Linked DNA regions of Tribolium castaneum. The protein of the gene in region 1 purifies or fractionates together with the protein of each later gene. This does not show direct contact. Links are inferred from orthologs where the notes say so. Each region holds a gene or a part of one and is shown in the gene's direction. Other genes may lie near its edges. The genes, in order: numb, spdo and AP-2alpha.

Evidence for each region.
Region 2: the proteins of numb (region 1) and spdo purify together in Drosophila melanogaster (affinity purification with western blotting; 6 studies listed by BioGRID). This does not show direct contact. The link is inferred for Tribolium castaneum from reciprocal best matches to the Drosophila melanogaster genes numb and spdo.
Region 3: the proteins of numb (region 1) and AP-2alpha purify together in Drosophila melanogaster (affinity purification with western blotting; 5 studies listed by BioGRID). This does not show direct contact. The link is inferred for Tribolium castaneum from reciprocal best matches to the Drosophila melanogaster genes numb and AP-2alpha.

Annotation. Positions count from the first base shown.
Region 1 is NC_087395.1:16,788,890-16,792,544, reverse strand, and holds part of numb (protein numb), read left to right. Parts: intron 1-1,375; coding exon 1,376-1,609; intron 1,610-3,655.
Region 2 is NC_087396.1:11,694,622-11,698,272, forward strand, and holds spdo (uncharacterized protein spdo), read left to right. Parts: upstream 1-1,255; 5' UTR 1,256-1,710; coding exon 1,711-2,686; intron 2,687-2,733; coding exon 2,734-2,966; 3' UTR 2,967-3,089; downstream 3,090-3,651.
Region 3 is NC_087403.1:6,346,478-6,350,578, forward strand, and holds the end of AP-2alpha (AP-2 complex subunit alpha), read left to right. Parts: intron 1-347; coding exon 348-501; intron 502-553; coding exon 554-910; intron 911-957; coding exon 958-1,090; intron 1,091-1,136; coding exon 1,137-1,792; intron 1,793-1,844; coding exon 1,845-2,258; intron 2,259-2,303; coding exon 2,304-2,511; intron 2,512-2,564; coding exon 2,565-2,642; 3' UTR 2,643-3,468; downstream 3,469-4,101. UniProt on the Drosophila melanogaster protein: Adaptins are components of the adapter complexes which link clathrin to receptors in coated vesicles. Clathrin-associated protein complexes are believed to interact with the cytoplasmic tails of membrane proteins, leading to their selection and concentration.

The DNA of each region.
Region 1 (3,655 bases):
AAACATGACATCAAAAATCGGCCTCTTGCATATTCACTGCTCGATGATTCACAAATTCCACAAAAATGATTTCATTTTCGAACGATTTAGTGTCAAATTACGGATGCAACTAAATTTCAGAAGTCGTTGACTTGAATTATTACGAGAAATGCCAAACAAGAAGCGAGACCTTGTCGCCATTGTGCGAAATCGCCCATGCATTTAATTAACTTAACCGGTTTTTAACCTTGGATTAACCAAAATTAAGACATCAAACCAACCCCTAGCAGCCAAATTCGGGCTGATTTTCCTAGCAAGGAGCCCCACTTTTGCGCCTTCAAGGACTTCGATTTCTTGGCATCTTGGCTTTGGTGTTGTGCATATTAATTCTAACGGGTCGTGACGCAATAACCTTGCACAGAACTGTGCTTTTTTCTGAATAATTAAAGAAAATTTTTATTGAGAGCCGCACCACGTGGTTGAACCGGTAATTCGAGAAACACATTTCGATTGAATCTGACGCAAAACGTAATTGGTTAAATGATTAATCAAAATTGATTTTTAAATAACTTTATGGGGGAATTTTTCTGACTAGGAAAACAATCACAGCTGGTTTGTGAATTAACACAGTTTTAATATTCTCACATCGGAGCTATCGTTTTGTCTCAATAAATATTTGTTTTATCAGCGATAAATTATCAGCCATATGTGCTGATCATTTCGCATGTGGTTCATTATTAATGAACTTCACATACAGGGTGTTTCAGTTTGAAGTAACACGCGTATTGTTTCGAGTTTAAATGTTTAATTAATTTAGTCTCGCCATTTATTTACGTTTTAATTACAGTAATTGAGTTTTGTGAAAGTGCTGAATTAATTGATAGTTCACTTTATCAATGGAATAATCGCACAAGGTGATAAAAGCGATGAATGGCTCGAATCTCGGTGATAAAGTTTCGAGAGGATTTTCAACTCGTTTATCAATTCTAAAATATTTTATTTTGAATTCCGTTTTCTTCCGCAATCATTCATACGATATCCAGATGTCACTCACTTCCGGTGTTTGGTTATTGATGTCTTTTTGCCAACTTGACTCGATTTATCTTGGTGTAACGGCAGTCGCTGCTTTATTTGGTTACATTTTCCCATTATTGCGGTATCATGGGAAAAAATCGTTCTGAGTTATGTGTGCAAGCGATTATCTAATAACAATTTATCCGAATCAAAAATCAGATGTTGCGCTAAAATAAGACTTGACTGCGTCCGTATTTGTTTGCTCATATAATATTTGCAAACGAAATTAGCCATCCTGTTTTTTCAGCTTATGTAACATGCATGTGTAATAAATTTTTCCAGCCGCTTTATGCGAAATATTTATGGGTTCGATTTATTTCAGAGGCGAAGTCTACGTTCTCCTCGGAAAATGGATAGGTTAAGGAGGTCCTTCAGGGATTCCTTTCGGCGACGAAAGGATCGTGTCCCTGAAAGTTCCAAACCTCATCAATGGCAAGCGGATGAATCAGCTGTCAGGTCCGGAACTTGCACTTTCGCTGTGAAATATTTAGGCTGTGTTGAAGTTTTCGAATCGAGGGGAATGCAAGTGTGTGAGGAGGCCCTCAAAGTGCTTCGAGTAAGTTGACAGAAAATAAAAGCATTTTCTGAAAATTGCTTGTTAAAGTCACTGTTTTTTTGTATACTTTTTTTTTAAGTATTTCGCACAAATGTTAAGAGGTGCCAATTAATTTTTTTTATTACGATTTGGGTTTTTTTGTAAGTCTATTTTTTTTTGTTAATGTAATATTAAGATGTTATTTTTGGATTTTCTTTCCTAACTGTTGTTTGTTACAGTTTGATTTTTGAATTCTTTTACGAATTTCTTTCCTACATTTTTTTATATTTTTTTGAAGGAGTTGATATTTCTGTTTTTTTTTTAATTTTTTCAACTGTCTTTCGCCAATATTTCGAAAAGTTTGTAGGTACTTTTTCATTGTCGATTTTTTTCTTACGCTTTTTATGTTTCGTTGCAAAGACATTTTTAAACTGTTCTGCAATTCTGCATACATTCTTAGTGCTCCCAACTCTCTTTTGTAATCCGATATACTATCTATTTTTTAAATTCAACAAATAATTATTTCTTCCTCTGATCCTTCATAATTATTGCAAATGTAGAGATTTTTGAAGTTGAGCTTTGGATAGTTTCTCCTCCCATAACTGATTCCATAATTTTTCTTATTTTTTGTGTGTTTTATTGTTACTTCGAAAAGTTTTTTAAGCAACAAAATTCTTGTATGCTTTGTTGATATCTTGAGAATTTTTTAAACTGGTATTTCTGAATTCAAGTTTTTTTCTTTTGTGTATTTTTGTGAATTTAGTAATTTCAAGCTGATATTTCTGATATTTTTTGGCTTCTTTAACGCTATTTTGCAGCTCGATATTTTTTAAAACTTTTGCCGATCTTTTTTTTGTTTGTTACTAAGTAAATAGAGAAATAATAGAGAATTTCTTGGTCTGTAGCTTTTGTAGCTCCAAATTCGAGAATTTATATCTTTCATTTTTTTAATTAATAATAACGCTTTGTCTAGATTATTTTTTATGTTGTTATTTTTAATCACACAGTTTGCACTGTGTGTTGTTTTTTTACTATTTCTCTGTTCAGATGTGAAATTTTTAAGATGATATTTCTACATATGGTCCTTGATGCACCTTGTGGTAGTACGAGAATTTGAAATCATAGATATCCTCTCGTGTTTTTTCATTGTCTCTTGTATATATCCATTGTGCCAACATTTACCTACCTATTATTACGAGATGTAATTATTATTTTTAATACGTATCTTGTCTATTTTTTATTATTGGACATTTATATTTTATGTTTCTCATAAAGAAAACATAGAGTTATCTTGTTAGATCAATAGAAAATGAATAATAAAGTGGGGACTTTGAAGAGACGTATCTACATCTGAATTTTTTTGAGAATTTTCGTTTTATAATTGTTATAATTTGTATTAATATTTTTTTGCTTCTTCAACTTTATTATGCAGCTTCTGCTTCTTATTTTGAAAAAAATTACCGACACAAGTAGAGAATCTTTTAAGTTATTTTTTATAGTACGAGGGGAGTTAAATATAAACCGGAATTTGTTTATAACTTTTTAGTGAAATAAAATTTTACGAAAACTTTTTAAACTATTTTTTACGAATTTTTTTTCTACCTCTATGCACATACGCCATCCTTTTCTTTACAAAAGTTTTTTGGCACTTAATCAGTTATGCGCAAAATTTTGAAGCTCATTGTGGAATCTAACGTTCTCCAGTGCCTCTTTAGATGGTTTAAGAAAAATTAAATTTACAAAGATACATACTAGGGCTATAAGAGGGTTATGGAGGAGTATTTTAGTGCATTTTTTTCGTATTTTTGAGGTCTAATGGCCGTTGTCTTAACAAAAAATTAACAAAAATTATTACTGGAAGATCTCATCTTTTTGATCAAAATGAATTTTTCTGGTATCAATTAAAAATAGTAAGGGACAATGATTTGGAATTTTGTCTTTCAATTTTGGGAATCTTCCAAAATAGAGTAGCGCTTTTTTCCATTAGAAATCACAACTTTGAGTTTTATCGGCTTGGGAAAAATAGGACGTAGTCACTGTTTTGGATTGGAGTGGATTTTTTTTTAA
Region 2 (3,651 bases), on another chromosome or scaffold:
ATTTGTGCGGATCTTCGTATCGCAAACGGAGAACAGTTATAAAAATAGCACATTTTAGTTTCTTCATTAAAATGAGAACTAATATTAATAAGAACTACAAATTCAAACACTGGAACGGAATTGATGTTTGACAAATTAAAAAAACAAGGCATTTCCGAAAGTGTGTCGACGTTTTCAGGACAACTTACAAAGATGTAAAAAAAATTTTTCTAAAACGTCCTGGGGACAACCTTAACTTTCTTCAAAGCTTGAGTTTGCGTTCAAATTAATTCTCACGCAGACGAAACGTTTTCGTGTCTGTTTTTAGAAGCTAGATAAACATTGTAATCAGAAGGTCCGACGTAAATATAGCCCACTATTTTACCAACTATCAATACCTACGTAATGGTTTTATTTTATACCGCTTTAGGACCCTTTTTTGTGTTGGCAGAAGGTGAAACAACTATAAAGAATTATGTATTCTCAAGTTTGTAAGCGGAAATCTCGGCGGAAATTGGTATTTTCGGATGAAAAAAATCTTGACGTCACTTCCAGCGAAATTGGGAACTTAATTAATTTTACCCATTTTCCAAACTAATCTCTGGCTAAATTTAGCATCCATTTTGCATAAACAGCGAATCATAATTTATCTTAAGCACCAATCATAAAACTAATTGAAGCATTGCTCAAATACTTGTCGATATATTAAAGCACGTGAAAACAAGTTTGCAACTTATTATTTATTTTATGAATAAAGTGTCGCTTGGCATGCACTTTCAGTGATATCCGAGTTGAAAAAGCGAGTTGCATCACTTTAATTTTCTCTTTACATCCACGCACTTAAGACTTTTCTTTTTTCCTCGTTAATTGTCATGCATTTCAGAATCCCGAAGTAATGTGATATTAAACATTATGTATAATGACCCTTGAGAATATGCAAGACATCCGTTGAACGGTACGTTGGGCTTCATGTGGAATATATAATTAAATAGAATACACTCAACCAGTTATTTGTTGACATTTGAGAACACTTGGGATTTGTGCCATGTATCATGAATAAACCGGCAAAACGGAAATAGTGAATTCAAATTTCATTTCCGATGCAAGATAAGCGCGCACCAGCGAGAAAAAATGAACCCGTCTAGTCCTCTAATCTTCCACATTGACTGTTCTATTGGTTTGGCTTCCTTCGACTTATCATAACTAAACAGTTTGATTGTGGAATGTATATACAGATGTACGATCAAAATATCAACAAAGAAAACGGCGCACAATTCCACAAAATGGGTTTGTGTGGCGGAGCGTGCCGTCAGTGGCGTAACAACATTTCTCAACTTTTATCAAATTAAACCGCTCCAAAACTCCTCGTTTTTCTTTCACCACCGGTGACTTTATGCGGAAAAATGTCGGTACCGTAAGACTTTTCTCCACCGTGTACTTATCGCGTTTATGACCCAAATAAACCAAATACGATTCATCATTAAAAAATCATTTAGTCCGAAAAGACGTGATCGTCTTATTAAATGTATGCCCTTGGGAGGGCTTGAAACCGGCGGCACGCCCATGGAATTCACCCCACATGACGCGAGGCATATGCAGCTGTTTGATAAGTACGTCCCCCATGCTGCCGTTACGCTGCAAGCTCTTTAACAACCACCAGGCGACCAGTCATCACCGGGCCGTGCCCCAAACGACTACAAATGACGGTTGCGAGCGCATTTCGACTTTAAAATGGCCACGCGAACCCTTCCGAAAAACTTCTACTCGAACCCGGCCTTCAGCCAACAAAGTGAATTTTACAACGGAAAACCGCTCTCCCAAATCGTCCAAAACGTGCGCCAGTCGCCCGTCGGGGCGCAAACCCAGCCCCAGTACCGCGAAAACGAAGAATACTACGATGAAGAATTCTACGAAGAAATGATCGTCGACGATGCTGGAATCATCAAGCAGAAGAAAGTCCTAGTCGTATCCTCGCCCACCAAGGACCAAAAGTCCCGGTACGAGTACATCCCCATGCAGGAGCAAAACCGCTACATCATCTGCCAAAAACAACCGCCGCAAGTGCACTACGCCGAAGAGTTCGTCCAAGGCAGGCCCAACCACCGCTACGAGTACATCCCGGAGGAGTCCCCGCCAAAATCCGTTACCCGGAACCGTTACGAATACATCCAGTTCGAACCGCCAAGTCCCCGGAAACCCTCCAACCCCATCGCGACCCAAAAGCTCCACGAGCTCCTCTCAACCCCCAAAAAGCCCCCCGTAATGTCCCCCCAAGCCCACCGAAGAGTCCCTCCATCCCCCCAGCGGGACCCCTTCATAACGCCGCGCAAAAGCCAAACCCGCCAAAAACTAAACTACGCCCTCGACACGCGCCAAGCGCAGGACAAGCGCCACACGGCCATCGTGGCCCCCATGTGCTCCAGCCCCATCCAGAGCGTCTACAGCGAGACCACGTTCTCCAAAACCGACTCTTGGATGAACTTAGGGCCGAGGAAACCGACCCAAGTGACGCTGGCCGTGGCCGCGGTGATGATGATGCTCTGCGGGGGGGTCACCTCGGGGCTGTGCTTCTACATGGTGTCCATCATGGGCCGGCTGTATTTCCTGGATTTCGGGATTGTGGCAGGGTTCACTTGTCTGGTGTTGGGGTTTTTGGGGTTCCGGACGCGGAATTGTTACTGGCTGCCCAACCGGAATTACATTTCCGGTAAGTCGGCTTTTGGTTTGTTATTTTTTGTAATGGGATTGTTGCAGGGTATATCGTTTTGAGTGTGTTTAGTCTTCTGATGTGTGCCGGGCTTCTGGTGCTGCTTGTGCTGCAGCCCAAGCCCGGCACGCCTCTCGCGGATATGACTTCCGGTGCCGTTTGCGGGATTTCCGTTTTGTCTCTAGTGTTGGCATCTGCAGGAGTCATGACGAGTTATTGTTGCAAATATCCGCCACCTGACAACAGGGTGGAGCACAGCGTCCCAGGATTCACGGTTTAAAACCACTTATTTATTTTATAGTAATATAATTATTATGGTTTATATTATTTAATGACTGGAAATTGTAAATATTATTTATTGTAGGTATTGATTGTTTTTATCTAATAAACGGTTTTATAACAATGTAAGTGGCTTTATTTATTGGACCGTTCGATACGCGGCGAAATTGTCAAGCTTTATAGCTTTGTGCCAAATTCCGATCAAGTAATTTAACTTTTTCGTAAGTGAGCTGAAATTAATGGACTTTTTTAGTTACTTTCATTTAACAGTAAATACGATTTTTGTACGTCTTTATATATCAAATCCGAACAAGTTATTCAGCAATTAGAAATTTTAATGTCTTTGTAAGCTTCATGACAGGAGCATTTATTAGTGAATGTCGGACACGCTAGCACAAAAAATTCTTAATTTATTTCACCTCGGCAAGAAGAGTAAAGACACATTTTCAAAACGTTAAATTACATTTTAATTAAAATTAAAACAAACAATTATTAAATTTATTTAGTAGAAAGTGTGCGCACTTTCAAGGTGTGGGAGTGCATTAACGAAAGTGTAAATGTATTCATAACTAATTTACGCTAACAGCACAGCACAAAACAAAAACTGCATTGTACGCTGTCCTCAAACCTAACTAGTTCAAGATTTTTCAAAAATAAAACTCGTGCTGGTCTACATTTGGAAGAAA
Region 3 (4,101 bases), on another chromosome or scaffold:
ATAATAGTTTTTGGAATCGTTTAGTTAAGAAGGACGCTTCACAAATCTTAAACTTAATTTTCGACGGAATATCTGTTTTTTTTTAGATTTATAGACAATTTAATGGATTAGATGACTTTAATTGCAATTTTGAAAAGAAAAACGTCTAAGTCAACAATTTTTATGTAAAAAAAATTCAGTACTTAAAGGGAAGAAATAAAATAAAAACACTGCTAAAACTAAATGTATATGGTTTGGCGTTTGTCATAATTTTCTTCTTAACAATTGTTAAGGGACCGTGGTTGAAACTTGATTCATTTTTTCACTTTTTTTTGTTACACTTGCTCCAAAGTTTTATGAATTCTTAGCTGAAGACCCGGGGGTGCGCGGCCGCTTGAACGAATGCCTAGAAACGATATTGAATAAAGCGCAGGAGCCTCCAAAATCGAAGAAAGTGCAACACTCAAATGCTAAAAATGCCGTACTGTTCGAGGCCATTAGTTTAATTATTCACAATGACAGGTATATTTATTTATTTTGAAATTTGAAAAGTCTCATTTTGTTATGTATACAGCGAAGCGAATTTGTTGGTGCGTGCTTGTAACCAGTTGGGCCAATTTTTGAGTAATAGAGAAACAAATTTACGTTATTTGGCTTTGGAGTCGATGTGTCATTTAGCAACGTCTGAATTTTCCCACGAGGCTGTTAAGAAACATCAGGAAGTTGTTATCTTGTCGATGAAGATGGAAAAAGATGTTTCAGTGAGGCAACAAGCCGTTGATTTGTTGTACGCTATGTGTGATAAGAGCAATGCTGAGGAAATCGTCCAAGAAATGTTGAATTATTTGGAAACGGCTGATTACTCAATTAGGGAAGAAATGGTCCTAAAAGTTGCGATTTTGGCCGAGAAATACGCCACGGATTACACTTGGTAAACCAAGCCTGATTTTCGTAACACTTTTTTACGTTTTTTGTCAGGTATGTTGATGTTATTTTAAATTTGATAAGAATCGCTGGCGATTATGTGTCGGAAGAGGTGTGGTATCGAGTGATCCAAATCGTTATCAACCGAGATGAAGTGCAAGGTTACGCCGCTAAAACTGTCTTTGAAGTAGGTCTCATTTGAGTCCATAATTCAGCTAACAATTTTTTTGAAGGCTTTGCAAGCACCCGCCTGTCACGAGAACATGGTCAAAGTCGGGGGTTACATCCTGGGAGAGTTTGGCAATTTAATCGCCGGGGATCAGAGATCCTCACCCTCAGTTCAATTCCAACTTCTCCACTCAAAATACCACTTATGTTCGCCGATGACTCGAGCTTTGTTACTCTCGACTTACATCAAATTCATCAATTTGTTCCCCGAAATACGGACTCAAGTACAGGAAGTTTTCAAACAGCACAGCAACCTGAGGTCGGCTGACGCCGAATTGCAACAACGAGCTTCGGAATATTTGCAATTGAGTATTATTGCAAGTTCGGACGTTTTGGCCACAGTATTGGAGGAAATGCCGGCGTTCCCCGAACGAGAGAGCTCGATTCTTGCTGTTTTGAAGAAGAAAAAACCAGGACGGGTCCCAGAAAATGAAATTAAGGAGAACAAAAGTCCCACACCTGTGACCAACCACAACAACGATGTAAATAACAGCAGTGCTGTCTCTGGCGATTTGTTGGGTCTGTCGACTCCGCCAACAGCGCAGCCCAACTCCGGAAACACCGGGGTGCTCCTGGACGTCCTTGGGGACATCTACGGGGGCAAACAGGCGAACAACTCGAACAGTGCCACTCAACCGGTCAACATGTACAACCCCAAGAAGTAAAAACGTTGTTTGCACCCGGTGGTAATTATTTGAATCGTGTTCTTTCAGGTTCGTGTGTAAAAACAACGGCGTTTTATTCGAAAGTGACTTGATCCAGATAGGCGTTAAAAGCGAGTTCCGCCAGAATTTGGGCCGACTTGGCTTGTTTTACGGAAATAAGACTAACGTTCCGTTGCAAAATTTCGTCCCGACCTTGTCTTGGCCCGACGATCAGGCTTCCAAGCTCACCATTCAGATGAAGCCTGTTGAGCCGGTCCTGGAAGCTGGTGCTCAAATCCAACAGATGATCAACGCGGAGTGTGTCGATGACTACACGGGCGCCCCCAGCATAGTGCTCAGTTTCCTGTATCTCAACGTGCCCCAGAAAATAACGATCAAACTTCCATTGACGATTAACAAGTTCTTTGAACCGACTGAAATGAACGGCGAATCCTTCTTCGCAAGGTGGAAAAACCTCGGAAGGTAATTTCCGGGACGCAGTGAGCAGGGTCTGATTGTTTGTTGCAGTACGAACCAGCAAAGATCTCAGAAGATATTTAGGGCGACACAGCAGATGGACTTGCAAGCCGCGCGAACAAAAATAATGGGATTCGGGATGCAACTCCTGGACGGGATTGATCCAAATCCGGATAATTTCGTCTGTGCTGGGATTATCCACATGCGGTCGCAGCAAGTCGGATGTCTTCTTCGTTTAGAGCCGAACAAGAGTGCACAAGTAAGTGGTTCCCGCGGCTTTGAATTTCGTAACTGTTTTCTTTTTTTTGGCAGATGTACAGACTGACGGTGCGCTCTAGTAAAGAAAGCGTCTCGATAGAAATTTGTGATCTTCTAGCGGATCAATTTTAATTAATTTAGAAAATTGTGTAAGTAAGAGTGCATTCCATAGTAGACTTACCTTATTGTTTAAAAATTAATATATTGAAATTTGCACAGACATGCGCTCTTTTTTCGTTTGAGATTCGCTTACAGTAAAATATTAGAAAGAGGATGTTCTTTGAGACAATATGTAAGTGTGTGACGTTAGTGTTGCTTGTTGACAGTTAATTTATAGAGATATGAATTTTTTGCTGAATTCATAACATTAGACCTCTATTCGGAAGAAAAGGGTCCATTGCGGAAAATTAAATGTACAATAAACGTTTTTTGTTGAGACAGATCTGCTGCACTCGAATTAAACCAAAAACTAAGGTGGGTCAAACGATCTTCTTGAATGTATATTAAAAATTCAATATGAAATAAAACTATATCATTAGAGACGTGTAACTTGTGTTATATTGTTATATCATACCAGAGGATGGTCGACGAGTTGGTAATGAATCGTTCTTCAGATGAGGAGTTTATTGAAACAGTTGACTTTCTACTGTCCTCAGATATATTTTTTACCATTTATTACAATAACTGATTACGTTGTGTAGTATGCCTTGAATTATTATTTGTATATGTTGATTGTATAAATAAGTAAAATATTGATTTAGTAATACAAACTCTTTGCAATTCCATTTTTGTATTCCTATTTTTTATATCATCTACAAAGTGCATGATACTTTATGTAAAAATAATATTGTGTAATATATGAATTCAAAGCTAAAGTTGTTGTAACATTATATGCGATTATTTAACATTTTTGTGTTTCTGTTGTATTGATGCTTCAATTACAAAAAATCACCGTCAACATTTTTCATTACTAACCCGACTAATTTTTCCATCCGAACTGATATTTAGGTAACGTCTTTACCTCAGTTCTTATACCACTATTTTACGCATGACTTCATGCCCATCATTCGGACATCAGCGGTTAAAAAATTTAAACAAAAGCGCTTCCTTCTCATTTCAACCCAAGGTAAGTAAAACATGAAGTCACCATTACGGGTTCACTTGCACCAATCCATTGATTGCACTTGATAATGGAAGTGTCGTAACATCCTGAATTTTTAAATGGTCGAAGGTTGGACCAATTTATTGTAATGCGGCTTTTTGCAAACAAGGACAATTTTATAAGTGACTGTTCCGGTCTATCTGTTGCCCATAAAATGCGTTCGATAACATAATGAGCGATTTTTTCGCTCGTAACGTAAATTCAACTGGAGGAAACTACTTTTATGCAAAGAAAAAACCAAAACGGTAAGTGCATAATAAATTTTTTTACCTGAATGACGGCGAACTACCGGTTCAGTGGCGGGTATAATAATAGTTTACGAACTCAGAATTATAAAATACATCAAATTAAGTTGTGCAAGATCACTAGCTTATCTTTCAGCAATGAATAATAATTCGCACGGAACACTAACTCGAGAGTAACAAAAAT